Elephas maximus indicus: one gene and its partners. The protein of the gene in region 2 interacts with the protein of the main gene of each other region in a pairwise test. Links are inferred from orthologs where the notes say so. Each region holds a gene or a part of one and is shown on either strand. Other genes may lie near its edges. The genes, in order: NFKBIB, VPS52, MFAP1 and DDX6.

Evidence for each region.
Region 1: the proteins of VPS52 (region 2) and NFKBIB interact in binary tests that used the Homo sapiens proteins (3 or more experiments, as listed by UniProt). The two-hybrid records come from large-scale screens. The link is inferred for Elephas maximus indicus from reciprocal best matches to the Homo sapiens genes VPS52 and NFKBIB.
Region 3: the proteins of VPS52 (region 2) and MFAP1 interact in binary tests that used the Homo sapiens proteins (3 or more experiments, as listed by UniProt). The two-hybrid records come from large-scale screens. The link is inferred for Elephas maximus indicus from reciprocal best matches to the Homo sapiens genes VPS52 and MFAP1.
Region 4: the proteins of VPS52 (region 2) and DDX6 interact in binary tests that used the Homo sapiens proteins (3 or more experiments, as listed by UniProt). The two-hybrid records come from large-scale screens. The link is inferred for Elephas maximus indicus from reciprocal best matches to the Homo sapiens genes VPS52 and DDX6.

What each region holds. Positions count from the first base shown.
Region 1 is NC_064829.1:112,633,626-112,641,132, forward strand, and holds the start of NFKBIB (NF-kappa-B inhibitor beta), read right to left. Parts: upstream 3,012-7,507; 5' UTR 2,914-3,011; coding exon 2,735-2,913; intron 1-2,734. Other genes in the region: SIRT2 (NAD-dependent protein deacetylase sirtuin-2), read left to right, coding at 3,377-3,392, 4,183-4,229. UniProt on the Homo sapiens protein: Inhibits NF-kappa-B by complexing with and trapping it in the cytoplasm.
Region 2 is NC_064819.1:96,065,595-96,073,444, forward strand, and holds the start of VPS52 (vacuolar protein sorting-associated protein 52 homolog), read right to left. Parts: upstream 3,010-7,850; 5' UTR 2,751-3,009; coding exon 2,661-2,750; intron 2,542-2,660; exon of another isoform or gene 2,369-2,541; intron 1,880-2,368; coding exon 1,795-1,879; intron 1,632-1,794; coding exon 1,579-1,631; intron 1,398-1,578; coding exon 1,322-1,397; intron 1,137-1,321; coding exon 1,069-1,136; intron 762-1,068; coding exon 586-761; intron 222-585; coding exon 71-221; intron 1-70. Other genes in the region: RPS18 (40S ribosomal protein S18), read left to right, coding at 3,165-3,167, 3,666-3,764. UniProt on the Homo sapiens protein: Acts as a component of the GARP complex that is involved in retrograde transport from early and late endosomes to the trans-Golgi network (TGN).
Region 3 is NC_064828.1:12,257,172-12,265,122, forward strand, and holds the start of MFAP1 (microfibrillar-associated protein 1), read left to right. Parts: upstream 1-4,949; 5' UTR 4,950-5,112; coding exon 5,113-5,191; intron 5,192-7,951. Other genes in the region: WDR76 (WD repeat-containing protein 76), read right to left, coding at 1,006-1,407, 2,042-2,098. UniProt on the Homo sapiens protein: Involved in pre-mRNA splicing as a component of the spliceosome.
Region 4 is NC_064835.1:11,249,154-11,256,370, reverse strand, and holds the start of DDX6 (probable ATP-dependent RNA helicase DDX6), read left to right. Parts: upstream 1-4,214; 5' UTR 4,215-4,294; intron 4,295-4,412; exon of another isoform or gene 4,413-4,534; intron 4,535-7,217.

The DNA of each region.
Region 1 (7,507 bases), on a different chromosome or scaffold from region 2:
GGTGGACACTTGAGGCTATGCTGGCATCGCCTCCCTGGAGGGGAGATGAGAGGGTGGAGGGGGTTAGATGCTGGCGAAATGGAACGAAAAGAGAGAGTGGAGGGAGGGAGTGGGTTGTTTCATTAGGGGGAGAGCAATAGGGAGTATGTAGCAAGGTGTATATAAGTTTTTGTGTGAGAGACTGACTTGATATGTAAACTTTCACTTAAAGCACAATAAAAAAAATTTTTTTTAATGCCCTTTAAATATAAAGACACAAATAAGTTAAAAATTAAAAGATGGAAAAGATATACCATGCTAACGCTGGTCACAAGAAAGCTGGAGTATTTTATTATCAGAGTAGAGCCGTTAATATCAGAGCTTCAAAATACACAAAGCAAAAACCAACAGGATTACAAGGAAAAACAGACAAATCCCCAATTACAGTTGGAGATTTCAATACACCCCTCTCAATAATTGGTATAACAAGTAGACAGAAAATCAGCAAAACTAGAAAACACTATACACCAACTTGACCCAACTGACCTTTGGAAAACGCTCCTTGCAACAATGGCATAACGCACATCCTTCTCAAGCACACATGTAACATTTACCGAGACAGACCATATTCTGGGCCATAAAACAAGTCTCAATAAATTCAAAAGGATTCAAACCATACTAAGTATGTTTTCTGGCCACATGAAATCAAATTAAAAAATCTGTTAACAGAAAGAAGCGTGGAAAACCTTCCAAATATTTGGAAGCTAAACAACATACTTTTAAATAACCCAAGGGTCAAATAAGAAATCAAAAGAGAAATAGAAAGCATATTGAATTAAATGAAAATGAAAACACAACACATCAGAATTTGTGAGATATTGCTAAAGCAGTACCAAACCAAAACCAAACCCACTGCCGTCGAGTCGATTCCAACTCACAGCGAACCTACAGGACAGAGTAGAGCTGCCCCATAAAGCGTCCAAGGAATGCCTGGCGGATTCGAACCGCCAACCCTTTGGTTAGCAGTCGCAGCACTTAACCACTACACCACCAGGGTTTCCACTAAAGCAGTAGTAAGGGGAAAATTTATACAGCTATACGCCTGTATCAGATAAAAGGGAAAAGGCTCAAGTCAATAAGCTCAGCTCCTATCTTAGAAAGTTAGGAAAAGAAGAATAAATTAAAACTAAAGTAAGAAGAAAGGAAATAATTAAGATCAGAACAGAAATCAATGAAATAGAAAGCAGAAAAACAACAGGGAAAATTAATGAAAAAACAACCTGGTTCTTTGAGAAGGCCAATGTTTATTAACTGCCAAGGAAAAGAGAGTCCTGGAGATCTACTTCTAAAAAACCAAAAAAAACAGCCACTGAAAATACTGTGGAACACAGTTCTACCGACACACATGGGGTTGCCGTGAGTTGGAACGGACTTGAAGGCAACTGGTTGGTATGGATCTAGGAGATGGTGGGTGGTACAAATGGTTAACATGGTTAACATCCTTGGCTGCTAACCGAAAAGCTAGAGGTTTGAATCCACCTAGAAGCACCTAGGGAGAAAGGCCTGGAGATCTACTTCCAAAAAATCAGCCATCGAAAACCCTGTGGCACACAGTTCTGCTTTGATACACGTGGTGTTGTCATGAGACAGCACCAACTTCACAGCAACTCGTTGGTTACTACGGGTCTGGCACTGTCCAAGTCACTGGGGTACAGCAATAAACAAAACTGACAAAAGACCCCAGGCCTGTATGACTGCTATTCCTTCTGCCTGCAATTCTCTTCTTTCCAGATACCTATTTGTCTCATTTTCCTGCTATTTCTCCGTAACACTTGCTATCTTCTGATAGACTATGTTTTTATTTCCTTCCTTCCTGTCTTTCTTTCTGTCTGACCTTCTGTCTGTCTAGCTCTCCCACCTAGAATGTATGCTCCATAAGGACATAACTTTTTGTCTGTTTTCTTCATAACCTTATCACTGGCATCTAAAACAGGGCCTGGCACATGGTACCAAAAAAAAAAAAAAAAACCCACTACCATCCAGTCAATTCCAACTCATAGTGACCCTATGGGATAGAGTAGAATTGCCCCCATAGGGTTTTCAAGGAGCGGCTGGTGGAGTCAAACTGCTGACCTTTTGGTTAGCAGCCAAGTTCTTAACCACTATGCAACCAGGGCTTCAAAACATGGTAGTTTTCAATAAATATTTGTTGAATGGATGAATCCCTGCTCTCATGGAGCTTACAATCTCTCTCTGAATGAAAGATTTGAAAATTACTGCTCCAGAGGCAGGACCTTAGAGTCAGGGGCCAACTATAATGTCAGAAATCAAAGTCTAGGCTTACAAATCATGAATTAAGGATTAAAGACCATGTCTGGAGGTTAGAGGTCAGGAGGTTAGAGGTCTCGGGCCACATGAGGTCAAATTGGGTTTTGGGATCAGTGGGTTAGGGATGTGGATTCCAGGAACTAAGAATCAAGAGTTCAAGAAAGGAGAGTCAAAAATGATTGGGTTTAAAAAAAAAATTTACATATATATATATATACACACACATATATGGTTAAGATCAAAGTTGGATAGATTGATTTATTAAAGATTAGGATTTGGGAGTTAGACGTCAGGAAGTCAAGGATCAGAGGTCAGATTTAGGAGTAAAGGTTAGAAAGCCGGATCAGACCACTGGGGTATCAGGTAAAGCTGATCTTATCCGAGGTTGGATCCTTGGGGCCGGTTCGGGAGTCTAAGGTTCACTCACGTGTCCCCATCCTCAGTGACGTAGCCGAAGACGAGGGGCACCCACGAAAGCCCCGGGCCCAGCTCTGCGCCCAGCCCCGGTCCTCCGGGGACCGCTGCGTCCGGACCCAACGAGCCCAGGCCGCTGTCGCACCACTCATCCGCATCTGCGGCTTTCCCCAAGCACGCGACCCCGGCCATGCCCCCCTCTGCCTCCGGGACCCCAGAGGCCGCCCTCCGCCAGCCTGCCTGCCTCTGGGCTGTGCCCGGACCTCTGGAGCTTCCGCCCTGCGGGGAATTCCCCAACACTCCCCCTACTGTCTCCAATAAGAGTGGGCTAAATCGCTCACGTCCCGCCCAATCTCGCACCAAGACCAATCAGAGTGTCGGAATGGACTACAGCTCTCGACCTGTTCCCACATTTTCCGGGCGCCCTTTACCAACATGGCTGCCGACGCGCGGCCCTCTGGGACTCGTAGTCCGGCTCTCGTGTACCTTCCTTATCCGGAGGGACGCGCTCCGATCTTTGAGAGAATCGCTTGTCTGCGGCCGCTATTGCTTCTGGGAGTTGTAGTTCTCTGCCTCTTCCTTGCCTCTCCCCCTTCCGGTGCCGTCACGGGACAGAGCAGTCGGTGACAGCCCCGAGGGCCCCGGCCCCGCGCCCATGGCCGAGCCGGACCGTGAGTCGAGGGCTCTGGTGGGAGGGACGGGCCGCACCGGGGCCTGGTTTCGTGATCCAGGCCCTGGGGCCCGAGAGCGGGCGCGGTGGGGCAGGAGGTGGAGGCTGCGTGGGGGAGTGGAATTTGAAGGGCCATTGCTAAATGCTCTGTGTCGATAGGTTGTTGGGTTTCTGGGTCGCGAGGTTTTAAGGGTCACTTTACCGTGTTACTGATAATCGCATGTTTTTCGACCCTCGTTGCTAAGGACCCTCGTTGCCGCGATCCCGGTTGCTAAGGGTACCTGGTTGTTAGGGGCAGCTGTATGATGCTAGGCGGCCCCGGTGTTCCCTCCTATCTCTTCCCTCTAGTTCCTGTACCTCTCCTAAACCTACCACCGCCACCGCACCTCCTCTCCCAAACCCGCCTCCCAGCCAGGGTATCCCTTCCTACCTCCTTTCTTCCTAAATTTCCCTCCACCCTGGAAACCTAACCCCCTCAACACACACACACGGCTGTGCCCTTTCTAACTCTTTCTAACTCTTCTTCCACACCCTGTATCCCTTCCTTTCTCCTCTCTGTCCCCCTAAACCTGTCCCTCCCCTGCCTCTCTGTCCCTCACTAGCCACCTCCCTTCCCAGCAATCTCCACTCTAATATGATCAGCTTTTCCTCATCCCCTCCTCTCTACTCCTTACCCCAGTGTGACTAGGTCGGTGGGTCTTCTGGGTCCCCCTACTCCCGCTCTTAACCCCTTCATTCCCCCTTAACCATCCCCCCCTGCTGTAACCATGTCTGCTCCCCTCCTCCCCCAGCCTCTGACCCTCTGGAGACCCAGGCAGGGAAGGTGCAGGAGGCTCAGGTGAGATGGGGTAAAGGGTGGAATGGAGGGAAGGAGACAGATGGACTTGTTCCTACATCCCACACTGGGGGAGGCGGCAGAGGGAAACCAGTTCCCCTAGGGCCCCCAGCTCACTGCCCCAGGCCCTCTCCCCCACCCAGGGTGCAGCCTCCTGGGGAATGGTGGATTCTGGTGACTTTCAGAGAAGGGTGTGTTACCCCAGTCCCAGGCCTGCCCTCCCAGGTTCCCTCTTTCCTTGTCCCTCTTCCCCCCATCCCTTCTGAACCTCATTTGTACTGGGCCTGGGAGAGACACACATCAGATTTGGTCCCTGAACTCACGGCTCTCACAGAAAAATCACTAGAAAATGAGTCTATAAGGGAATAATGGAGGTATCTCAGGCCACTGTGGGAGTAAGCCTTGTGGGATCACAGACTCTACCTAGCCCCTTCCCTGGAGGAATCCACAGGCTGGCCTAGGAGTCAGATTGAGATATAGACACAGTGTAGTCGGTGAAGACTGGCTTAGAATGTTCCTACACAAGGTGACAAATGGTGTTCCAAGCAGAGGATGTAGTTTGTGCAAAGACCTGGAGGCATGAAAGACTGTGATCTGTTCAGTAGTTTGGTGGCTGGGGATGGTTGTTGTTAGGTGCCATGAGTTGATTCCAACTCGTAGCAGCCCCATGTGACTGAGTAGAACTGTCCTATAGGATTTTCTAGGCTGTAATCTTTACAGGAGCAGATTGCCAGGTCTTTCTCCCAGGTAGCCACTGCATGCTTTCGAACCCCCAATCTTTCAGTTAGCCACTGAGCACTGGCCGGTTGCACCACTAGGGCTCCTTTGGCTAGGAATGGTCGAATAATTATATCCATGGCTAGCATTGATTGAGTGCTTACTCTGTGCTGGAAACGCTGGTGGTATAGTGGTTAAGTACTACAGCTGCTACCCAAGAGGTCGGCAGTTTGAATCTGCCAGGCGCTCCTTGGAAACTCTGTGGGGCAGTTCTACTCGGTCCTATAGGGTGGCTATGAATTGGAATCTACTCAACAGCAGTGGGTTTGGGTTTTTTTGGTTACTCTGTGCCAGGCACTCTGTTTAGTGCTTTGTATGCATCGCCTGGTTTAACCTTCCCGATATCCCTGGGAGGCACACGCCCGTTGTGTAGATGAGGAATCTGAGGTATCTGGGGTATCTGGGGCAGAGGTGATAAGACTTGCCTTCTGTCCCTTGGCTAGAAGAGCAGGAAAGGGTTTGGAACTCAAGACCTTCAGCATACTGCCCTCCAGACACTGAGACGACAGGGCCGCCTCCTAGAAGCTGGAGGCTGGAAGACTTCGCCAGCACCTCCACCTCCCCTGTAGGCAAAGCTGCCCCTGGCTGGGCAGGGCCCTGGAGTCCTCCCACAGAGCCTCTTTGTCTCCAGCCCACCCACAGATGCGAGATGGCTTTGCAGATGTAGACCAGTGTAGATGCTGGGATTAAAGTACCTCACAGAGGCATAGCACAGTGACACTGAGGGTATGAGAGCTTCCCCTCAGGCCAGGGTTTCAAACCCCCCTAGCTCCCAAAGCACCACTGCTGTCATGTGGGGTCCAGAGAAAAAGGCTTAGTATTAGAAAGGGATCCTCAGTCCCCGAGAGAGATGGAGGACGTAAATCGCAGCATTGTCTCTGCAGTGTGGCAAAGCTGGAAACAGCTCAAATGGCTGTCAGTAGATGAGTTAAATGAACTGGTTCGTCCATACAATGGGACGCTATGCAGTTGCTTAAAAGGAGGAGGTGGGTCTGTACTGTACTGTTCTCTGGAAAACTGCAAGGTGCAGCCTCAGACTAGGGCCTGACCCATTTCTATCAAAATAGTGAACGTTTACATGTAGAGGAGAAAGCTGGCATAATTAACATCAAAACTTAACTAATAGCGGTTATCTCGATGGGGCCTGGGAGAGAGAACCATGAGGCAAGTGCCCCAAGTTACACATTTTCTAACCTTCAAAGTTTTTGCAAAGCTTGTGTAATCTTAAAAAGTGTCAAAGAAAGAATCATACCAGATAGTGTTAAAACATGGCGAGGGTGACTTTGATTCAAAGGGAAGTTGCAAGGGGAGGGGAAAGAAATACAAAACTGGATGGATGGAGCACTGTAGTGGGAGGAGAGGGAGCACTAAGGGTGAGACAGGGACACCAGGACTGTGTCTGACCCCCAGCCCTCTGAGATGCAGGACTGTGAGCTTTTCAAAAGAAAGTTAAGGGGGATGCTGGGGAGTCCCTGGGCGGTCCAAAAGGTTAATGTGCTGGCTGCTAACTGAAAGGTTGGTAGTTCGAGTCCTCCCAGAGGCACCTTGGAAGAAAGGCCTGACAATCTTCTTCTGAAAAACTCCGCCATCAAAAGCCCTGTGGAGCACAGTTCTACTGTGACGCACATGGGGTCACCACAAGTTGGAACTAACTCGACAGCAAATGGTTTTTTTTTTTTGGTGAATATTATACCGCGGTTGTGATTAGGGCCTGTTTGCGCAGAATTTTTTTTTTTTCTGTCATAAGGCACCTGGATCTTGGGGGACCCAGTATGCATTGGAGGTAAGGAAGGGGAAGCTAAAGTTATTCAAGGAGAGTAAATCGTTATGTCTTGGTCAGTGCCTTGCAGTAAGCCCTGTCATTTGGAAGGGGAGGTTCTGATTCAAATAAGCTTAGAGCCAGGGCAGTGAGTGATAGGGGAGCGAGTTGTGGGAGGGGTCTTAAGCAGGGGAGTGAGGTGGTCAGATTTGTGTTTTGGGGAATCATTACAGGGTCCAGCCCTGGTCTAGCACACAGCAGGTGTTCGTTCAGTGGTGGATAGTTCTGGAACTCTTGGCAGGCACCAGACCATGTTCTAGGTGCCAGGCATTCAGTGGTGAACGTGGCAGATCCAGTTCCCACCCTCGTGGAGGATTGAGTGACTGGAGAAGCCACAGACAAAGGCTTTGAAGTAGCCAGAAGCGGGCCAGGGCCCAGGCAGGCCGTCACGTGGAGGGGAGATGGGAAGTGGAGACTGAGGCTGAGAGGTCAGGAGGATGCAAGGCGAGGTCTGGGCCGAGAGGACAGGCTGGACCAGGTGGAGCTGTGGGGAAGTGGAAATGGTGCTCAAGAGGCCAGGTGGGCTGTGGCAGGAAGCGGGAGGTGCCCAGGACGAGGTGAGGCCCCCTGAGATGAGGTCCAGGAGGAGGACAGATTTGGGGGAGATGCTGAGGCCAGTTTGGGACACAGGAGAAGTGAGGGTCCTGGGGGTCATCCACAGGGAGGTGTCCAGGAGGCCGCCGAC
Region 2 (7,850 bases):
GGGAATCCAGGGTGAAGGTGTTAGGGAGCCTGGTTCTAGCAGTTTCTGGGTATCTACCCCCACTCCCCACCTTGACCCGGAGCCGGTCAAGCACGCCTCTGACGTCTGCACAGGCCGCTGTGCCCCTAGCCTCCTGCTCTCTGACTGCAGCTGCCTTGGCATCCAGCTCCTGCAGCTGCTCCAGGAACCTGGGCTCTGTCACCGGGGCCTCCAGAATTGCCCTGGGTAGCAGGGAGGAGCAAGGTGGGTTAGGTGGGAGACCCAGGCATCCCTAGACTACGCCCAAACCACACCCCTTACACCCAGCCTCTGCCTGCTGTACCTTCTTACACTGTAACATGCAGTCAGGCTGTATGTACAGTTTTCTGCTTCTAGACTCTCCACGTAAGCCTCGAACCTCCTCACTACACATCTGACCCTAGATGACTCCTAATCTTTGATGCCTAAAGCACATATCGCAGTGAGAAAAGACTGTCAATCCAACCACCAACTTCTGGCAGGCGCTTGATGACCAGGACCCAGAAGACCCATGTGGTAAGTCTCTAGCTGCCATAGATGTTGTGACCCTTCAGACTGGCGACTCACGTGACCAGGGCAGAGGGCACCACCAGACCATCAACAAGCTCCCCAAGTTTCCCCCGAACTGCCTGGCGGTTTCGAAGACGAATGTTCATAGCTCCTGACTGTTCCTGCAGTGTCCGGATCTCAGAGCTGATGGAGCTGAGGTCACTCTGGAAAGCTCCCAACATCTGCTCCATGCGCTGGGGAGAGAGTAAATGCTGCTGGAGCACCAAAGGGTTGGTAGGGGACAAGTGGGCCATTTAATTCTCTTGGTGAAATCTCTAGTATCTATCAGTTTGTGAGGGTGGGGGGTGATGAGGGGAGAAGTATCCCAAAGGTCACCGTTCGGAAAGAATATCAGCTATGGAAATGACCATGAAAAAGGATGCTGAGGTCATCCTGAAAATGACTCTAACCTGTTTCCACCTAAGGTCAATGACTAAAAATGGCACCAAAAGTCTTGGACCAGTTCATGCTTGTTATGGGTCACAGGCCATGGTTACTAACCTCAAGGACAGCATCACAGGCTGTGATCTGGTTGTGCAGAGATGCTATATTTTCGCTCTCTTGGATATCTGACCCACAAAAAGTCAAGGGGCCTCATGCTGAATATGGAGATTCTCAGACCTGCAGAACCTCTCTGATTTCTCCCTGAGATGACAGAAACCTCAGGGAAATCTCAGCCCTAGCTGGGCTGCCTGCACCATACCCGACAAAATCCCTGTCAATAACACCACTCCTGCCCTCTGGTGGAGGATACAATCTCGAATGGACTTCTGTTCAATCTGCTGTAGCTCCAGCTCAACCTGCTTTGAATAGTGACGGAGGTCCACACCCTAGGAAGACATATAAAGTGACAGGTCAGGACTAAGTTGCAACAAAGAATCACTGGAACAGAATCAACAAAGGGCTAGAGAGTGGGACACCACGGTCATGTCATGAGAATAGAAGACTGTTTTTCTTTTCTTTGGGGGGAGGGGAGATGAGGGAGCAGATTAGTACAGTGGAAAGCCTCACCGTTTTAAGAGCTTCCTTTACTAACTCATCCTCCAGATTTGCCTGAATGTGAACTGGAAATAGAAAGTTATCATAAGAGCCCGGATCTACAGCTCTCACCCCCCACACTAAGTATCTGCACACCAGTCTCTGTGTTACTCCTTCTGGCACCTGCTGCACCTTAGATTACAGGCACTCTAACTTCCAGCTCTGCAGAGGCCCCATGCCATCACTTACCATCCACTTCATCCAGGATGAATTCATCAGAAGTGATGTCCAACTCCCCAAGTTGCAGTGGCTCCTGGAGCCCAGTACCACTCCCCTGGGAAGGGAAAAATTACCGAGAGAGGGGTACGAGGAGGAGGAAAAGAACAAAATACAATAGGACGTCCTCAATCTTCCAAGTGGGAGAGAGGTTCTTTTACTGGGGAGTAGTAAGTGCTGAGTCAAAAACCTCCGAGAGTCTCACTCTGTACCCCACCTACTATTTAGGATTTATGGACAGGACATATGGCAAAGGAAGCATGTAATCCATGAAGAGGGAGGAGGTCTCTGAGGAAGATGAGAAGCTGCAAAAATTGGGCAGATCTTGCAGCTGACTTTAGGAGTCCTAGACTCCTGCTATTTCACATGTCGTATCACCATCTTTCTGGGGAGTCCGAGCCTTTCTAGAAAAGTCAGCTAAAACTTAAACACTGTTTAAGTGCATGTCAGGGACCGTTTTACATATATTCATTCACGTAATCCTCACAATCTAATACGACAGATACTATTATTTTCGTCATCTCATAGAAAAAGCTGGTTAACTTGCCCAAAGACAGTGTGTAGGTGGCAGAGCTGGAATTCGAACCCAGGCTGTGTGGCTCCAGAGGCTTCTCTGTTCTGCCCCAAATCGGGAGGAGTTGAAATTGTGCCCCTGGAAACTGAGTCATGGCTACTCTGGTTTTCGTTCAGGTTCAGGTCCGATCCCAGGAAGCCAAACAGGTAGCGTTACCGATAGCAGCCGAGCTCCCACCCTTTTGTGCCTACACCCAGCCCGGGACTTCCTGACGCTAGGAGGCCCGGATGGAGCTCCGGAGAGGAAAACAGCCCGGCGCTCTCACCAGCGGGCCCTCCTCCTCTTCCATATCCGAGGCGCCGGCTCGCAACACCAGCTCCCGAGCTGCTGCCGCCATGGTCGCAACTGCGGCCATTAGGCGCAGCCTCACTTCCGGCAGCTGTCAGTCCGGGCAAGTCCGTTCCAGAGAGCCTTGCACAACGCAAACCCGTTCGCAGATAAATGAGTTAAACTGTCTAACTCCTTTCAATTGTAACCGCTTCACCTAAGCACAAACGAGAGTGCGGAAGTCTCACATACAGCCTCGTCCCGGAATCTTCGCTGTTGCCACACCCATGAACTTTACGGACAGTAAAGAGCAGACACCACCGGAAGTTGTGGCGTCCAAGTCAGCTCCTCAGAAGTCTAGTCAGTTTGGGGTGAAGCCGTTTCAGGAAGCGCTTCTTCCAGATGGCTCCGCCCCTTCCACCAGAGAGCTATATAAGTATTTGGCGTCACTTCCGCTCTCTCTTCCACCGGAGGCCTACACGCCGCCGAAGCTACCGCCGCCATGGTAAGTCTAGAGTCCGGGTCGGGATCTGGCTGCATCGGAACCGGGGCAGGGAACGTCTGCTTTCAGAGGGCCAAAAACGCCCTATCCTAGGGGCCTGCAACTTTCTGTGTGGAGCCTTGCATTACACCCCTGAGAATGGATGACCAAAGACTTCCAATTCCGGGAAACGGGACCCGGGAAAGGGTCACTCCCTGGAGGCACGAAAGCGGGGAGAGGTTTAGGCGTGTGCGGGGATCTCCGGCAGCTTCTACGCAGAATATGCTTTTGGGAGTCGGCAGGGGACCTGTCCCCTTTCCGGAAGTTGCATATCCCTAGGCCTGAACGGTTCATGATTCTGCTGTCTGCAGGAATGAGGAGTTTGCGGTGATGTGAAAACGTGGAGTGGGTCATTGCTCCCTATGTGACAAACTTAGCGTTCCTGTTTGAGGTGGTTCGTTCGTCTTACGGTTTGACGGTAGTTCACAGTGTCTGATCCCCCCCCCCATCTCTTTCAATCAGTCTCTGGTGATCCCCGAGAAGTTCCAGCACATTTTGCGAGTACTCAACACTAACATCGATGGGCGGCGGAAGATAGCCTTTGCCATCACTGCCATTAAGGTAAAGTAAAGATTATAAATGAGATTTGGGTTGTTAAGAGCTAAATTATAAATGAGCAAGGTCGAGTAGGCAACCAGATCACGTTGGCTGCTGGGTTTAAAAAAAAAAAAAAGCTAAGGGGAGTGATTAATCCCTTAACCACATTTACCACAAAAGGTGAGTAATAAAAGCCAGAGAAGGGTCTAAGGTCAAGCCAAAACGTTTCACTAGAGTGAAAAGGCTGGGTATGGTTGTCGACCGGAATTTGCTAAAGTTATTTAAAGCTGTTTTCTGAACCTTCAGTTTGAGATTTCTGTCTCCACTACATCATAACAACAGCCCTTCCTGTTAAATTTATACACCCTGAAAACCTTATAATTCTTACACATCTTGAATGAGTAGCTGTGCCAACAGATTGCAAGTGTCAAAGAATATATCCATGGGACAGGGTCATCACTAGGTCCTGAGCAGGATATTTACTCAGTTGTCGGAGGTGAAAGTCAGTGTTCTTTCCAGCTGAAAAGGGAACCCCAGTATATTTTGGTTTGGGCTTGTTGAAAGAATTAAATGCAGGTTTGGATATCTACTTTCATCCAGCCTTCTGGCTGGGGACATTCTATCGTTTATAGAATAATTACTTGTACAAATAGCTGAATGTGTTTCTTGCCCTGCAGTACCCATAACTCAGAGGGAACAGGGCCAAGCCAGTCTTGTTTACAGTCCTCTACTTCTGGTGTATTGTTGAGGCTTATTCAGTGTTAGGGAATGGATGGTACTGGGGATACCTTACCCCCGCCTCCGGTGACAGAGGGGGTGTCCCGACTGGTCCTGACGACCATCGAGTTTGTCAAATTTCCTTGATTTTTTTTCACTCTCATACAGAGAGCAGCTTTTACTTGTTCTCAATTGAATACCAGACCCACTGCCCTCAAGTCTATCCCGACTCAGCAATCCATAGGGTTTCCAAGGCTGTAAATGTCTAAGGAACCAAACTGCCACATTTTTTTCCCACTGAGTGGCTGGTGGGGTCAAACTGCCAGCCTTTTGCTTCACAGCCAAGCAGCTTAACCACTCTTTTTTAACAGAGCTGCTTCAGTTGAATACAGAAGAAGCTTAAAGCTTCTGTTTGATATTCTCTGAAAATGTAAGATACCCTAAAGATTGAATACTTACTGCAAAGCCTTGCTGTGAGCCATAAGCGAGTTTGTGAATATAAAAGCGGAGCATGGTTAGTAGGGTGCTTCTTCACTCTCTGCATCTTTGCAGTTGATTTGTTAAATGTGTGTCATAATCTTTGTAGTCGAATTAGATTTCATGGACAATTGTTCAGCCATTTTCAGATATTTAGCATGTGAAGAGAAGTCTCACAGGGGGATGGGATCCTGGTGCCCTGCTATCATTGGGAAGGGCTGTTCCTTAGAGATCTCTGGGTACTGAAGTTTTTGTTAGCAGAGAGCCAGGAAAGGCAGCTACCTCTTGGTGACAGACCTAAAGCTTGGAGGTGGTCCTTTATTAAGAACGAGGGATTGGGGGTAATTCTAGGAAATTGGGAGAAGATTAAAGAGGAAAAAGGGAGGCTGAGTATGGGGAGGGGTTCCTCAAAAACGTGGTTAGCCCCAGAATGGTGAAGAATGAAAGTTAACATAAGAAAAGGGTATATACTGACAGGTAGCAGATCTACTGTGGGGCATTTGGTGGTTTAGTAGTAGAAATTTTGACTTCCATATGGGAGACCTGGGTTTGATTCTTGGCCAGTGCACCTCGAGCAGCTACCACCCCTCGCCTGTCAGTGAAGGCCTGCATGTTGCTGTGATGCTAGGCATGCTTCAGTGGAGCTTCCAGACTAAGATGGACTAGGAAGACAGACCTGGAGATCTACTTTCCACTGCTCTGCCAATGAATACCCTGTAGATCACAACGGTCTAATCCACAACCAGTCACAGGGAGGGTGCAGGACTGGGCAACATTTCATTCCTTTGTGTGTGAAGTCACCATGAGTTGGGGGGCCAGCTAACAGCAGCTAACAATATAGATCTGCAGGAAACCCTGGTGGCGTAGTGGTTAAGTGCTACGGCTCCTAACCAAAGGGTCAGCAGTTCACATCCGCCAGGTGCTCCTTGGAAACTATGGGGCAGTTCTACTCTGTTCTGTAGGGTTGCTATGAGTCAGAATCGACTTGACAGCACTGTTTTTGGTTTTGGTTTAGTTCCTGGGTGGTACAAATGGTTAAGGGCTTGGCTGCTTACTGAAAGATTGGAGGTTCAAGTTCACCCAGCCAGCATCATCAGAAGAAAGGCCTGGCGATCTACTTCTGAAAAATCAGCCATTGAAAACTCTATAGCACACGGTTCTACTTTGACACATGGGGTGGCCATGGATCTGAGCCATCTCAGTGGCAGTTGGTGAAACATACACGTATGCGTGTATCCTGCAAAGCTTTTCTGTGCTGTGATTTTTTCCCCTCATTGTTTTGTTGCCACTTTCAGTTTTTTGCTGTATTTTTTAAGGCTAGTGTTCTGCCCTCTTCTACATCAGGATTATAGCTGCCATCCAGGAAGTATTTGGAAACTTGGAGGGGTTAGAGTTGACTTGAAGGTCCCCATGGGTCTTGTTCACAAGGAACTCTTGTCCCACCAAGATGCCAGTTGTCCTGGAACACTTTCAGAGTCTTCAGTGTTTATTTTTAAATGCAGGTATGAGGCACACTAACAACTTTTCTGTCCAGTGTAGAAATAGATTCTAAATTAAATACCAAAAAACCAAACCCACTGCTGTTGAATCGATTCTGACTCATAGTGACCCTATAGGACAGAGTAGAACTGCCCCATTGAGTTTCCAAGGAGTGCGTGGTGGATTTGAACTGCCAACCGTTTGGTTAGCAGTCGTAGCACTTAACCACTATGCCACCAGGGTTTCCAAGTTAATACGGACTACTAAATTAGTTGATCAAATAATTTCAGACTTGAGTCCTTGGAAAACCACCTTTTTGTATCCAAGTGCTGGCTGTGTCCTTAAAGAGGGTAAGTGTAATGATTAAGTTGGCTATCAACTGTTACATAGTCCAGGCCCTTAGGAGAAAGTGATGGTCACTGCAGTGTACTTTTGTGGATAGAGGAGGCCTGAAGAGAACAGCGATCTTGGGGCAGAGAAAAGGGGACCTAACCTCTTGGCAGGCTAGCATCTAGAGTCAGTAAACAGAGCCTTCAAGATCTTTGCTCGACAGCAACTTCTCAGGAGCATGGTTATGGAAAAATTTAAAGATTCAAAGGTAACCAAGGTGTCCATCAACGGATGAATGGGTAAATAAATTGTGGTATATTCACACAATGGAATACTACGCATCGATAAAGAACAGTGACGAATCTCTGAAACATTTCATAACATGGAGGAATCTGGAAGGCATTATGCTGAGCGAAATGAGTCAGGCAAAAGGACAAGTATTGTATAAGACCACTATTATAAGATATTGAGAAATAGTAAAAACTGAGAAGAACACATACTTTTGTGGTTACGAAGGGGGGAGGGAGGGAGAGGGTTTTTTATTGATCAATCAGTAGATAAGAACTGCTTTGGGTGAAGGGAAAGACAACACTCAATACATGGAAGGTCAGCCCAATTGGACTGGACTAAAAGCAAAGAGGTTTCCGAGATAAAATGAATGCTTCAAAGGTCAGCGGAGCAAGGGTGGGGGTCTGGGGAACATGGTTTGAGGGGACTTCTAAGTCAATTGGCAAAATAATTCTATTATGAAAACATTCTGCATCCCACTTTGAAATGTGGCGTCTGGGGTCTTAAATGCTAACAAGCGGCCATCTAAGATGCATCAATTGGTCTCAACCCACCTGGAGCAAAGGAAAATGAAGAACACCAAGGTCACACGACAACTAAGAACCCAAGAGACAGAAAGGGCCACATGAACCAGAGACCTACATCATCCTGAGACCAGAAGAACTAGTTGGTGCCCGGCCACAATCGATGACTGCCCTATCAGGGAGCACAACAGAACTCCTGAGGGAGCAGGAGATCAGTGGGATGCAGACCCCAAATTCTCATAAAAAGACCATACTTAATGGTCTGACTGCGACTAGAGGAATCCCGGCGGCAATG
Region 3 (7,951 bases), on a different chromosome or scaffold from region 2:
AGACACTGCAAATTCAGTGCCCCACCCCAGAATTTTTGAATCAGAAAGTCTGGGGGGTAGGGCCCAGCTATTGTGTTTTAACAAGGCCTCCAGCTAATTCTGATGAAGGCTAAAGTTTGAGAACCACTCATCTATTCCAACCCCCTCACAGTAAAGGTGATTTCCCCTAAAGGCATAAGGTTCCTTTCTAGTGGCCCCGCCTAGGAGCCCAAGCTCCCAACCCCCAGTTCAACTTGCTTTTGAATTAGCCCACAGGCCCCACCCCAGGCCCTGGCTCTTAAACCTCCAGGACAAAAAAGCATAAATCTACCTCCTGTGGCAGAACGACAATACTTCCATGATCAGTTTCCTTTCCCTATCATCATTTGCTGTTTTCTCAGTTCCATCAATATTTTGTCATGTGGTGGTTTCACCTTGTCCTGAACTAAATTTGTCACTTTGAACAGAGCATAACACTCCATAAGTAAGAAGCCACAGGAATTAGATACTTAATTCCTTAAACTGATCCGAAATATTATTTTAAACAGAAGAGGTAAGGGTAAGTGTTCCTCATATATCTTCTCTACTCCATATTTTGTCTCCTTTTTGAATATTAAAGGAAATATCGGGGGTCGCTCAAATGTCCTATGTTCCACAAGCCGACTTCTGATACACTGCATAAACATGTAAAGATGAGCAAGGCACCATAAAGAATGTGTAAACACAAATAATATATGCAATAAATGACAAATGTTTTTATATATTTTTACAAGAAAAAAAAACAGTAAACTGAGAGGGGATAAAGTGAAGCAGAGAAAAGATTAAGTCAATTGTGTCTCTGACACACCAAAATCAAGTACAAAATTAACCCAAGTTATTAGTTAAACATTAAAAAAATTTTTTTTCAATTACACTTAAATCAGATAAAACAATCTGAGCTGAAGAGACCGTTGATAGCCTTAGTTTATCAGAACTTCAAATTGCAGAACAATAAAACTTGGAACAAGCTACTAGTTAAGTTCCTACCAGGCCTGATGTGGTTTCTTCCTCACTGTCCCCGTCCTGGCCACTTTCCACATCAACACTGACGATCACAGCATCTGAAGTGCTCTGGTGCTGTCCCCTGTTACTCTCAGGATGAACATCTAAGGACGACTTTTGCAGACTGGATTCTGCCCTGGAAGATGTGGCTTCCATCTTTGGAGTTAAAATCCCTCTGCAAGTTTTCTTTATTTCTGTCTTCTTACACAGCGGCACATCGTTAGAATTCTTTTCTAATAGTGATTTGGGGTGCTTAACTTGGTCTAGCTTGTCATTACTGAGTGAAAAGGCAGCCAGGTGAACTTTAACTGTTTTTTCTAAAACTGTCCTCGGTATGGGTTTCAGAGACACGTAAGGGATGTTTTGATTTTCTTTATATTCATTCACCTAATCAGGTCAATAACAGAAAGGAAAACAGTATTAAGAATCTCAGGTCCTATGACTTTTCTTCTCTTACAGATAAGAAACAGACATCAACAGATGTCTGTAAACTTAATTTCAATTTTATGATACCAACAGAAATCCAAACTCATAGCCTATAAGGTAAACCTCCAAAATCTAGACATCTCCTTCACTTAACTAAATAGAATTCCGGGGCACATTTCCTGTCCATACAAGTTGGCCAGGCCAGTAATAACAACGACTACCACCTATAACTGAGGAGCCCACCCCAGCTGTCAGCTTCCGAGGGTGCAGCCGGTAGCAGAAAGGGAGTCGCTAATCTGGCCCTGACACTACTGCATTTGTAGGGTTACTGATAAGAACCTTTCTCAACGCAGAGGGCCTAGCTCTCTATGGGGGAAAATCAGGGCAGGAATCCCCGCTTATTTTTTTGAAGCAACATCCTGAAACACCCAGCAAGCGGGGAGCTGCCTCAAGGGGCGGGAAACAGTTTTGGAGTGGAGAGGTGTCCCGTGCCAGGTCCCCGTGCCCTGCCGGGCCTCTGCCTGGGAGATCCTTCATGAAGACCCGAAGACTGCGGCAGAACACCGGGAAGGGCCAACCCGTTTCTCACCCTCACCTGGGGTCGCAGCCTGGAAGCCGCCTTCTCGTCGGCCGCCGCGCCGGACCCCGACATCTTCCCGCGGCTCAGCAGCTGGAGCCTTCCCGCCTAGAGCGCGGCGGGAGTCGGGGCCGGGCGGGGCGTGGGCGGGGCCGGGGCGGGCGTGGGCGGGGCCGGGACGTGGGCGGGGCCTGGCGGGGCGTGGGCGGGGCCGGGCGGGAGAGGCTGCAATCCCCGTCCCGCGGCGCTGCCTGGCTCATCCCGCAGCTGGCCTGGAGTTTCTGTAAGCAGGCTGGGTTACCCGCCTCACTCCGAGATTCAAAATCTTTAGAGATGCAGTAGGAGCTAATTAACATTTTTACCTTGGATCCCGGTTATTTTGATGTTCGTGGTGCCGGACCCCCTTTGAAAAACACTGGCACTTTTCTACTGAGGAAAAACCACTTTGCCTTGCAATGTGAGACTGGAAAAGATTCAGACGCACTTCAATTCCCTGCAGAATGGAAGAGAAAGGAAGTCGAAATCTACACGCTGCTTTATCTCCGCCCACCTGGCTCCTGACCCTACCACCAGAGAATCGTGCCCTACTGCTTCTACGGAAACGTCTTCCTAGGAAGGGAAGCATTTTAGTTTTGTTTCAAAAGCTGATAAATTTGTTTAAATTTCACCTTCTGACCATCTGCCCACCTGTTAACTAAGACTTTAAATAGCCTAAAGTCTGCAAAAAAGAAGTTGTGAATCAAATAATTTGTGTATCACAAAATAGCCAAAGGCGATTTTAGCGCCCGCAATTTCTTACAGTCGCAGCCATATTAAACTTTTTTTCTATTCTCTGGGTTGCTGTGAGCTGAAACAATTGCCTTCCCATCAGATTTACTCCCTCTGGACAACATAATTTTTTGAGCTGGTAAATACAGTATAAAAGTCTGTTTATTATATCTTCAAGCCCAAAACTGTACCGTTGGTTAGTTACTTGTGTCCTCCACTGTTCCTTGTTTGAAGCTTGTCCAGTATTATTTTTTCCTTTCAGCCTAGGCCCAATTTTAGAACCTAGGAGAAATAATTTGAGAATTAGCCGTATTACTTAACATACCTTCAAGGCCCTCCATGCCAGACTTTCACCAATCCCTGACTCTAAAATTACTAACTGGTAAAACCAAACTTTATATACCATGCTATTTCTGGCCTTCAAGACTTTGTTCATGTTGCCCCTTCTCTCCCTCACCACATCATTTATAAAGTCCTTTTTATATGGTAAAATAAGCAACATCATGATAAATGGAGAAAAGACTGAAGTTGTCAAAGATTTCATTTTACTTGGATCTATAATCAATGCCCGTGGAAGCAGCAGTCAAGTAATCAAAAGACTCATTGTATTTGGCAAATCTGCTGCAAAAGTCCTCTTTTAAAGTGTTCAAAAGCAAAGATGTCACTTTGAGGACTAAGGTGTGCCTAACCCAAGCCATGGTGTTTTCAATCGCCTTATATGCATGTGAAACCTGGACAATGAATAAGGAAGACTGAAGAAGAATTGACACCTTTGAATTATGATGTTGGCAAAGAATATTGAATATACCACGGACTGTCAAAAGGACAAAGAAACCCATCTTGGAAGAAGTACAGCCAGAATGCTCCCTTAGAAGCAAGGATGGTGAGACCTTGTCTCAGACACTTTGGACGTGTTATTAGGGGGGACCAGTTCCTGGAGAAGGACATCATACTTGGTAGAGAATCAGAGAAAAAGAGGAAGACTCTCGACAAGATGGACTGACACAGTGGCTGCAACAATGGGCTCAAGCATAACGATTATGAGGATGGTGCAGAACCCGGCTCTGTTTCCTTCTGTTGCACACGGGGTCACTATGAGTCAGAACCGACTGGGAGGCACCTAACATGGTAAAATCTGTTCTGACTTCCAATTAGCCAGGTTTTTTTTTCACATGACCCAGCTAGAAAATTGGGACTGCTTTGTTGTGATTCCAGAAGTCCTTGAAGACTTCCTAAATAGAATTCAAGCTCGAGGATGCGAGCCCTTTAACAATTCTCCATGCTCCTTATAGAGCACTAAACCGGTGAGCACAGCAAGTTAAAAAGCCAGTTGCGGTGGAGTTGACTATGACTCTTGTGACCCCATATGTGTCAGAGTAGAACTGTGTCCATAGGGTTTTCAGTGGCTGATTTTTGGGAAGTAGGTTGCCAGGTTTTTCTTTTGAGGCACCTCTGGCTGGACTCAATCTCCAACGTTTTGGTTACCAGCGAAGCATGTCAACTGTTTGCATCATCCAGGGACTCCAAACACAGCAAGTACTTAATTATTGACTGACCAACATATATTTTTTTAGCCAGAAATGTATTTTCAGAGGTGGTCTTCATAAACTGAAAGAACGTGAAAGGCTAAAACTGGAGTTTTGAGATTTCAGGCAAGGAGGCCTCTTGGAGGAATTTCATTTATTTCCTTTTCTCTTTTATCATTTATTACTTTTTTGCCACTGGCCTAAATCACCAGCACCTGCCATCTTATGACCTAAAAATGCCGCACCACCGCCCGCCCTGGCCTCATCAGTAGAGCTGATCAGGTGCTATTATTAACAGGATTTCTATTCCGATCCAACCCTAATCCTCTGAGCTTTCAACAATATAGACAAACAGCCCCTCATTATCTCCCCCGTTTCTCACTCATCATTATACTATTCCACAGGCTTCAAACCAAACTAACAAGCGAAACCTTTAACTTGGACCTCCGTCGCCGCTGGGCTTCGACCATACGCCAAAGGAAGCGATTTCCCGCCAGAAGCGGCTTCCAGAAGCGGCTTCCAAATGCTGCGAGACTGAGGACGCCAAGGCAGCCCGGGCACATGCGCAGTAACAGACTCGACCTTGTAGGCGAAAGCGCTCAGACGTCCTCCAGAATCCCACAATCCTCTCCACACATATTTCCGGTTTGTCTAGCTCAGGCGTAAGAGGTTTTCCAGTCGTCGCGCAGCAGTGGCCAGTGGAGCTGGGTTGGGAAGTATCTTTTCTGTTCGTTGACGCTGTCGGTGTTCTCTGGAGTAAGTGAAGTTTAAGGAGTCACCGCCGCTGCCATCAACATGTCGGTCCCAAGCTCACTCATGAAACAACCGCCTATTCAGTCTACGGCTGGGGCCGTCCCAGTCCGCAATGAGAAAGGTACTGTGCTGAGACCCTTTACAGTCGTATCTTACCTCTTCCTGCCCCAGCATCTTCCAAACCTACCCCTGGCCGATCGCTCCAACCTCCCCTCCTGCCGACCCTTAACACCTCGTCCCCGGTTTCTTCAGCCTTACCCTAAGCTCTCACCCAACCGCGTTGCCTAGGGGAAGAGAGTGGGGAACCCGCTTGTGTCTGATTTTGTTCCCATGGTTTCTTTGCTCTCACAGCATCCCACTTCCCCAGACCTCCACCAGTTCGTTAGACTAATGTATATTGAGTGCCTGCTCTTTGCAGGGCGTTGTGCGAGTTACAGTCCTTCTTTTGTTCTCCGTAGCAACATGTTTATGCTTTTAGAACTTACCAATATAGTTATTTATGTGTCTATCTCTCCCTGCTATTAAGCTCCTTGAGGCAGGAACCATGCTTTATTTCAACTTTTTATCCCTTTCAACCAATGCAGTGCCGTGCTTATTAAATTGAATTCAAAGTTGTGTAAGACAGTGCTCCTAATCGTAAGGAACTCATATTCTAGTTCTGTCTAGGTGTCAGACATGCAAAAAGGACGCACATTCTAAGTTGTGTATATATGGCCTTTCAACCTGTGATACCTGTCATAAAAAACCAAACCAAACCCGTTGCCGTCTAGTCGATTCGGACTCATAGTGACCCTACAGGATAGAGTAGAACCGCCCCATAGGATTTCCAGGGAGCACCTGGTGGATTTGAACTGTCGATCTTTTGGTTAGCAGCTGTAGCTCTTAGCCACTATGCCACCAGGGTTTCCACCTGTCATATAGGTGCTATAAACCATGTGTTGTGGGAAGGCAGAGGAGAGATCACTTCAGACTAGGGAAAACTTTCTGAAGAAGGTGGCATTGAAGTTGAGCCATAAAAAATGGGTAGCATTTCAATGGGTGCAGATGGAAGAAGGAACAACATACCTGTTTGGGGAGTCGGAGTTTTTTCAGTAAAGATGTTGGAAAATAATACCAATTGTTTCTTTTTGTTTTTAAATATATACTTTTTTTGTGTGCAACATGGCATTTGAAAATTATCCTTGGGACACATTAGATGGCATTCATTTAACTGCTTGTGAACTCCATTGTATAATTAAACCAGTTTGTCCATTCCCTGCTGAGGGACAGTTAGTTGTGTTGTTTTTCCTCCTATTGCAAAAATTCTGCCATTGTCATCCTTAAACATGTCTCTTCAGTTCACTTGTATGAGAAGCTTTCTTGGGTAGACTCTTAGAATTTCTTCATCAACTTTGCTACCTATTGCCAAATTGCTTCCAAAGTCAGTTGTAAGAAAAAAGTTTGTTTCCCTGTGTATTCATTCACACACTTGGTTGTATCAGATTTTTAAATTCGTACCCAATCTAACAGGTGCGAAATGGTATCTCATTTTAATTTGCATTTCCCTGATTCCTAGTGAGGACAGGCATCTTGTTCATGTTTATTGGCTTTCTCGGTTTTCTCTTCTATGAATTGCCTGGTTCTATTTGGTTGTGTTTTTATGCATTCCAAACCTGTAATGTATTTTTTCCTTATTTTTTTGCTTTCTTTTAAAACTTAAATTATGGAGTCTTCTGTTTTAGTTTTTTTGTTGTTGTTGTTGTTTTTAATTGTTCTTTAACTGAAAGTTTACAAATCAAGTCAGTCTCTCATACAAAAATTTATAAACACCTTGCTATACACTCCTAATTGCTCTCCCCCTAATAAGACAGCACATTCCTTCCCTCCACTGTCTCTTTTCGTGTCCATTTGGCCAGCTTCTGACCCCCTCTACCCTCTCATCTCCCCTTCATACAGGAGATGCCAGCATAGCCTCATGTGTCTACTTGATCCAAGAAGTTCATTCTTCACCAGTATCATTTTCTATCCCATTGTCCAGTCCAATCCCTGTCTGAAGAATTGGCTTTGGGAATGGTTCCTGTCCTGGGCTAACAGAAGGTCTGGGGACCATGCCCGCCGGGATTCTTCTAGTCTCAGTCAGACCATTAAGTCTGGTCTTTTTATGGGAATTTGGGGTCTGCATCCCACTGCTCTCCTGCTCCCTCAGGAGTTCTCTGTTGTGTTCCCTGTCAGGACAGTCATCAGTTGTAGCCGGGCACTATCCAGTTCTTCTGGTCTCAGGCTGATGTAGCCTCTGGTTTATGTGGCCCTTTCTGTCTCTTGGGCTCATAATTACCTTGTGTCTTTGGTATTCTTCAGTCTCCTTTGCTCCAGGTGGGTTGAGACCAATTGATGCATCTTAGATGGCCACACAGCTTTAGTTTTAATGTAATCATATTTATTAGTTTTATCTTTTATGTTTTGTACTTTTTTGTATATTGTTTAGGAAATTTTTCCCTACTTTGAGATCACAGATATTCCAATTATAAAGGTTTTCTAACATGTAAATATTTGTATTTACTAAATAGGATTGAATACACAATTATACAAGACAGGCTGTATGTTAAGGACCTTACTGTCCAGTAGGGGATATAAATGTTTAAGATACATCTTTCACTTTTAAGTTTTCAGTCCATCTGGAATTGTGCATGTGTGGTGAGTTAGGGATATGACTTTACCTTTTACCTTAAGGTTAACCAGTTATCCCTACTCCATTGATTGAATAGTCCATCCATTTGCTGGTGATTTTTAATGCCAGTTGTGTAATATGGAAACCCAGGTGGCATAGTGGTTAAGTGCTACGACTGCTAACCAAAAGGTTGGCAGTTCCCATCCACCAGGAGCACCTTGGAAACTCTATGGG
Region 4 (7,217 bases), on a different chromosome or scaffold from region 2:
AACCCTGTAAGGACAGAATAGAACTGCCCCACAGGGTTTCCTAGGCTATAATCTTCAGTATGGGTTACACCTCAACATTAAAAACAAAAACAAAAAACAAAAAAAACAAACCTTATAGCTGGACCAGTAAGCAACATCATGATGAATGGAAAAAAGGCTGAAGTTGTCAAGGATTTCATTTTACTTGGATCCACAATCAACACCCATGGAAGAAGCAGTCAGGAAATCAAACGATGTATTGCACTGGGCAAATCTGCTGCAAAAGACCTTTTCAAAGTGTTAAAAAGCAAAGATGTCCCCCTGATGACTAAGGTGCACCTGACCCAAGCCATGGTATTTTCACTTGCCTCACATGCATGTGAAAGCTAGACAATGAATAAGGAAGATGAAAAAAGAATTGATGCATTTGAATTATGCTGTTGGGGAAGAATATTGAATATACCATAAACTACCAGAAGAACAAACAAATCTGTCTTGGAAGAAGTATAGCCAGAAAGTTCTTTAGGAGCAAAGATGGTGAGACTTTGTCCCATATGCTTTGGACATGTTATCAGGAAGGACCAGTCCCTGGAGAAAGATATCATGCTTGATAAATCAGAGGGTCAGCGAAAAAGAGGAAGACCATCAATGACGTGAACTGAGACAGTGGCTGCAACAATAAGCTCAGACATAGCAATGATTGTGAGGATGGCACAGGACAAGTCAGTGTTTCATTCTGTTGTACATATGGTCGCTATGAATCGGAACTGACTCAGCCGCACCTAACAACAACAATCTTTATGGAAGCAGACTGCCACATCTTTGCCCTGCAGAGCAGCTAGTAGGTTTGAACTGCCGACCTTTCAATTAGCAGCTGAGCACTTTAACCTCTGCACCACCAGGGCTTCTTCATTTTATAAATACTAAAGTAAAAATATTTCCACTCCTAACTTATTGACATGGTCAGGTTCCAAAGACCAGGTCATTATGGGAAAATTAGCCTTATGCAAAAATGGATGATAACCACATCAGATCACAAAATATTTTGTGGGACACATATGTCCCTCCAGACCCAAGAGGCGGAAAATGTAGGTGAGCACTATCTGTACCATTGGACAAGAAAGGGTTACTGCCAGACGTACGTCATTAATTCACAAAATAGACGGGTAGATTTTTTACTGTTGTCGTAAATGCAATGTATCAGATAATGAGAGAGTTGTTAACTGAGGAGTAGGCGTACGTTGTATAAAGTATAATTATACGTATGCCCACCCACTGCCCTCGAATCGATTCCAACTCATAGCGACCCTATACGTATACTTACAGTCTATACAAAGTATAAATACTTTAAGAAAACAATACGGTTGCTATGAGTCGGAATCGACTCGATAGCAATGGGTTTGGGTTTATGTACGTTAGCAAATAATTTGTATTCCTAAGGTATCATTTCCTATGATTCTTGTTAATCTGACCTAGGGATAAAAAAGGTATTGAGATAGTTGGATCTAGCAACCATAAAATTGAGTCCAGAAGAAAAGATACAAGGATTCAAAATTAATTCTTTACCATCCACGCTATTTCACCAGAAGACTAGAAAGAGCTGATCTGGGGAGTCCCTGGGTGGTGCAAAGTTAAAGCGCTCAGCTACTAACCCAAAGGTTGAAGGCTTGAGTTCATCCAGAGAAGCACCTTGGAAAAAAGGCCTGGTGATCCTTTGAAAAATCAGTCATGGAAAACCCTATGGAGCACAGTTCTACCTGTCGCACGTGAGGCTGCCGTGAGTCAGAGCAGACTCAATGGCAACTGGTTTGAGGGCATGGTGGTTCAGTGGTAGAATCCACAGAATTCTCACCTTCCGTGCAGGAGACCTGGGTTCAGTTCCCAGCCAATGTATCTCATGGGCCCCCCGTCAGTGGAGGCTTGTGTGCTATGACGCTGAACGGGTTTCAGCCAAGCTTCCCAACTGAACGACTAGGAAGAAAGGCATTGCAATCCACTTCCGAAAATCAGCCAATGAAAACCCTATGGAGCACAAGGGATGACACAGGAATGGGCAGCATTTCGTTCTGTCGTGCAGAGTCGCTATGAATGGGGGCCCACTCAAGGGCAGCAGACAATAACAGTGGTACTAGGCTATTTTATAAAAACATTAAGCAGAGTCTTTAAAGCTTTTAGCCCTGGAAGGGGAGCTGCTTCATACTCCACTTTGGTTGCCTCTTCTCTTTTCCTCTTTTTGTCATGACTTCAATCAGCCCCCTTTGGAAGGTAACAGTTTATTTGTGGTTGCAAACCGCTTTCCTTTGCCTGATCCCATTTCTTGAGTGGCCTACGGAGATCCCACCAGGAAGTGACCTCCTGCCCTTCACATTCCTACTAATCCTGGGAAAGATAATGAGGCAAACAAGTTCTCCCACGTTATCATTTTAAGAAACTACTTAGCTATTCTCTTCTAGGATAGGCACAAGGTGCAAGGTTATTCCCTTACATAAGTGGGTGTTTTAAAATCTGTGTGAGAAATGACATGCTACAAATTTAGAATTTAAAAAATTGGAAGGGGAACCTTTTTCAGGAATAACCTTCTACACTTCTTCGTTTCCATTGGCTGTGTGGAAATAAAGACCAACAAATGAGAACAAACGGGCTGTTCATCCAGAGCTTGCTATATATAGCAAGGCAATCAACCATCATCTCTTGATTTGGTAGAGACTCAAAGGCAGGCAGGGGAGTAAGGAAGCTTTATAGTGAGAACAAGGTTAAGGTTCAGGTAGACTCTGAAGGTTGTTGGTTTAGGGAAGCTAGAGGCGGGCTAACTACAAGCGGGGGGCATCTTATGTGATTGGTTTGGGGAGCATATTTGGCTTTCTCTGATTGGTTCCGAGTTGGAAGCGGGCGAAAAACAGGGAAGCTGGCGGTCATTGACCGAATGCTGACCGTTCTGGGCCGATTGCTGCAGAGGTTGTGGCTTGGCTTCCTGAGCCTTGTTGCAGAGGTTGTGGGTCAGAGTTCTGTCGTATATGGTCTGGCCACTGTCCCCTTGTATATTCAGTCTCTTAGCTGGGTGAGACCCAGGTTTTTATTTTCTCTTGACCTAGTTAGCTCTCTAGCTCCAAATTTTTGTTTTACCTAAGATGAGACTGCATTCTTGTTATTTCTGTTAAGGATAAATGGAGACATCAGGGTCGTGTATAGGAAAAGTAATTCTGGGAACAAATACATTACTTGTCTTTGTAGCGAGGGTCAGGCACGAGAAAAAAGCATTCGCCGCCTTCTGGTTCCTCATTTCCTCACAGAACTACTTCCATTTAACTGACTCATCAGAAGCTTTCGCGCTTCTCTGGGAGAGCTCTGGCCTCCTCCGCTCCCTCTTCCCTGGAGGGCTGACGATTAGAGCCGACAACGCAGGATCGCTGCCCCTGTCCACGGCCCGCGCCCTCCGCGCCGTCTCCGGGACCCGGTAGCCCAGCCTCCCACTTCAAGGCTCGCTCCCCGGCCCCGCCGCCGTCCGCGCCCGGGCAGCGGCCACCTCGCGCTCTCCGGGGTCGGTCCCGGCCCCTCACCCCTCAGCAGCGCCTTCTCGGTCCCTTTCCGGCCCCCACCCCAGGCGCGCGCCGGCGCCTCCGGGACTCCCGCTCCGCGCGTTCCTGGATGGAGGCGCCCCCGGAGGGGCTCGGGCGCGGCTCCTTGGGTCCAGCAGCAGGCTCCCAGACCATGGGAGAAGTCAGGCCAGCTATCCGGTCCCGGAGCCACTGTCCGAACAGGCCGTTCTCGGAACGTGTCTTTGGTCAGGAATAAGCAGATCCTCGTCTGGTCGCAGCCCCCGATTTTCACTTTTGAGAACCCAATAAAACCCACTGCCGTCGAGTCGATTCCGACTCATAAGAGGCAAAGGGAGAGTGGACTCTTCCCACCCTTTATTACCCAGACATCTCCTCAGCTGAGGAAAAAGTACCCCTCCTTTCTCCTCAGAAAGGAAACTATTTCCCCTTCAACTTCTCTCCACCTGGACACCCGCTGGTCCCCCAGTCAGTGTGGGAGAACAGTCCTCCGTTTTTTTCTCAGGGGGGCTCCCCGGGTCGCCTTTCTCCTGCCGCGAAGCAGGAGAGGCCTTGACCCCGCCGTGGGCGCAGCGACGGCTGCCTGAGCTCTCGCCATCTTGAGTGGAGGAGGAGCCGCGGCCGCCGCCATGCGGAGAGACAGGGAAAGAGGGCGGGAGGCGGCGGCGGCGGCGGGCGGGAGAGGGAGGGGGCAGGGGAGCCGAGTTAGCTCAGCCCGGGCGGCGACTTCGGCGGCTCCGTGGGAGCGGGCAGCGGCAGAGGTAGGGCTGGACTGGCCCGGGGAGCCGGGCCGACGCGGGATGCTCAGTAGAGCGGCCCCAGGAGCGGGGCGGGGGCAGGAAGAGGCAGAAGCGAGGGGGCCGGGCGGGGGTGGGCGGAGGTTTCCGAAGAGGAAGGAGCCGCCGCCATTTTGGGAGCTTCGAGTCAACAATAAAGGACTGAGGGTGCCGAGCGGGAGTGGCCTCGGTGGTAGGACGCGGGCTCGAGCCGCGGGGAGCGGGGTGAGGTGGTGGGGTCGAGGTCTGACGGGCCACTGGGGCTGCGGAAAGCTTTGAGCCCGGCGTGGGGGGCGCTCCGAGGCTGAGGCCTAAGGCCTGGTCCGGCCCTGGGGAGGAAGGCGGGCAGCTGCCAGCAGCTGTGTGGGACGGGGGCGCCTGAGAGGAGCAGAAATAGGAATGTCGTGCGCGGTGGGGTCCAGATACAGAGCGGCCGAAGTACTCGGAGGAGATGTGCAGTGGATGATGAATATGGAACTGGAGGGAGCGGCAAGGACTAGGGGGGTGGTGGAGGTTATAGGGTACGCGGCGGCCCTATAGGGGGCGGCATGGAAATGCCGGATTTAAGGGCCCTGTTAAAAAGAGGGCCAGCAGTTGCTTGATTGGGATGGGGCTTTTAGATCCATAACAAGAGTGTGTTTGTGGAGCCCCCGAGTCGTGGAGGAAATGAGGGCCTTTCTGAGTTAGGGGTATCACTTTGAGGCCTTATGGAGGGAGTCTCTATTGTTTCCAACCTTCGGAGCTGGTTCCTGGCTCATGTTGCGCAGATACGATTGCAGGGCCCCAACCCTTTTGTGTATATGGCCAGAGGAAGCTGACTTGAAGTGTGTAAGGGACTGAGGATGCGGAGAACGTAGATCAGAAATTATTGCCTCACAAAACGGGGCTCGTATCATTGGCTTGCCTCTTTCATTTCCCTCTCATTCCCTTTTCTCTTCCACGGTCTCCTTTTCCCCTCAGAATAAAACTCACTACAACTTGCAGATCTAGCATACCGAAACTGCGCTGCGTTTGCAAACAAAAGCTCTCGTTGGAGATGACAATGATATTTTGGGTGTGAAAGTGTCAGTTGCTAACTACAACCTGAAAAGTGCTGTAGTTAACTCCACTAGCGGCTCCTCCCAACTAGTTTACGTTTCCTTCGTATTTTTGAAAACGTAGAAATACAATTTGCAACACTAAATTGGGAAGGGCCAGAGGAATATTTTCTTCTCTGCAGTGCAGATTTCAGTTCAATTAAGAGGGGAGCAGTTACCACATAGTCACATTTTGGATCTGGAGAGAACAGAGGTCCTGTTGTTTATAATGGGTAGTAGTAATATCATTTAATCTTTAGGGGTTGCCCTCTTCATCCTCTTAGTGTCTTGCAGACAAATGAGTCTCCCGGTGTGAACTCGGTGATATTGTTCATCATGATAATATAAACCTCCCAAATCAGGAAACCATTTACTACCTTGAAACTGAAATTAGGTGGCTGTTAGCCATGGTCCGCTTGAGTGGTCAGACAGATACAGGGAAACGTAGAAATATAAAGCTCTGTGTATGAGATAATTAGGATTGGCTTGTGAGCAACCTGATTGTCAATTAAAAAAGGAAGACAAAGGAGCATTTTATAATTTCAAATTTGAAAACCCATGATGTATGGCAAAAATAATAAGTCCTGATTAATAAGTTAGTGTATATTTGGTAAGAAATGTAAAGGAGTTAAAAAAAAAAACAACAGCAGGCCTTTGTTTTCTGGGCTTTGTAATTAAGTTTTTATTTACTAAGTTTTTAAATGCAGTCATGTGCCGCATAAGGTCCATTCAGGCAGTGTTGGACCACGTATCCGTCTGTGGTCCCAGAAGGTTATAATAGAGTTAAGAAATCTCGATTGGAGAACCGGACATAGGGAACAGCTTCGTGGTGGCTGTTCAGTCAATATAGGTAACACTACAGCATCCCATATGGCTTTGCTAAGTACAATCAGTCCCTGGGTTGCGGACGCCCAACCTAGGAACTTCTGCTTAACGTACTTAACGTACAACCTGTAGTTTTGAACCTACCCTGTAAAGCCTATTAAAAATTCGAGGTAGACACAATGGTTCACAATAACAAATGGGTGCTACTTTGCCTTGCGCATCAAAACAACCCATTGCCGTCAAGTTGATTCCTACTTTATCATGTTAAAGACGTTTCAGTGTATCTGGGAGTTTTTTTTAAATGTTTTTCATGCATAGAAACGTACACTATATACATACTAAGACAAGCATTCGACTAACTGACGTTAGAAATGAACCGTACCTGTTATGACTTAACATACAAATTCGACTTAGACATAGGAACAGAACTCATTTGTACTCTGGGGACTGCCTGTATATAATACGGTGTTCACACAACATCCAAATCACGTAGTATTCTATTTCACAGAACATATTGTAAACCTTAAGCAACCCATGGCTGTAATTCGATTTTGGGAACAGAAGTTGAAAGTAGTGAAATTTGACTAGTTCTTTTTTAAAACAAATAATTAGTACTCTGGGTTTCTTGGAAGGGTTTGTTAAAGTCACTACTGTGCTTAGCTGTTCACAGATTTACTCCTTTTACACAGGAAATTTTTTTGTGTATTTTTTTAAATCTATTTTTGAACAACAGGACTATTTTAAATTAGGGCATAGTTTTGGGAAAAAATGTTATATTAAAATGTAGCTAATAGTTTTTTAGTATTCAGATTTTATTAAAGTAGTTAAAGATTTTCTTGGCTGTTTTTCAAAGATGCAATTTTGACATGCAGACAGGTCTGTGTCCCGTGATTTCTTCAGTCACTATTTTAAGGGGCAAAAGCTTAAGGGAAAGAGGAACGTACATTTTTCTTTGGAAAGTTCAGTTTCTGTAGTTGAAGTTCATAAGGGCACACAGTGTTTTTTCT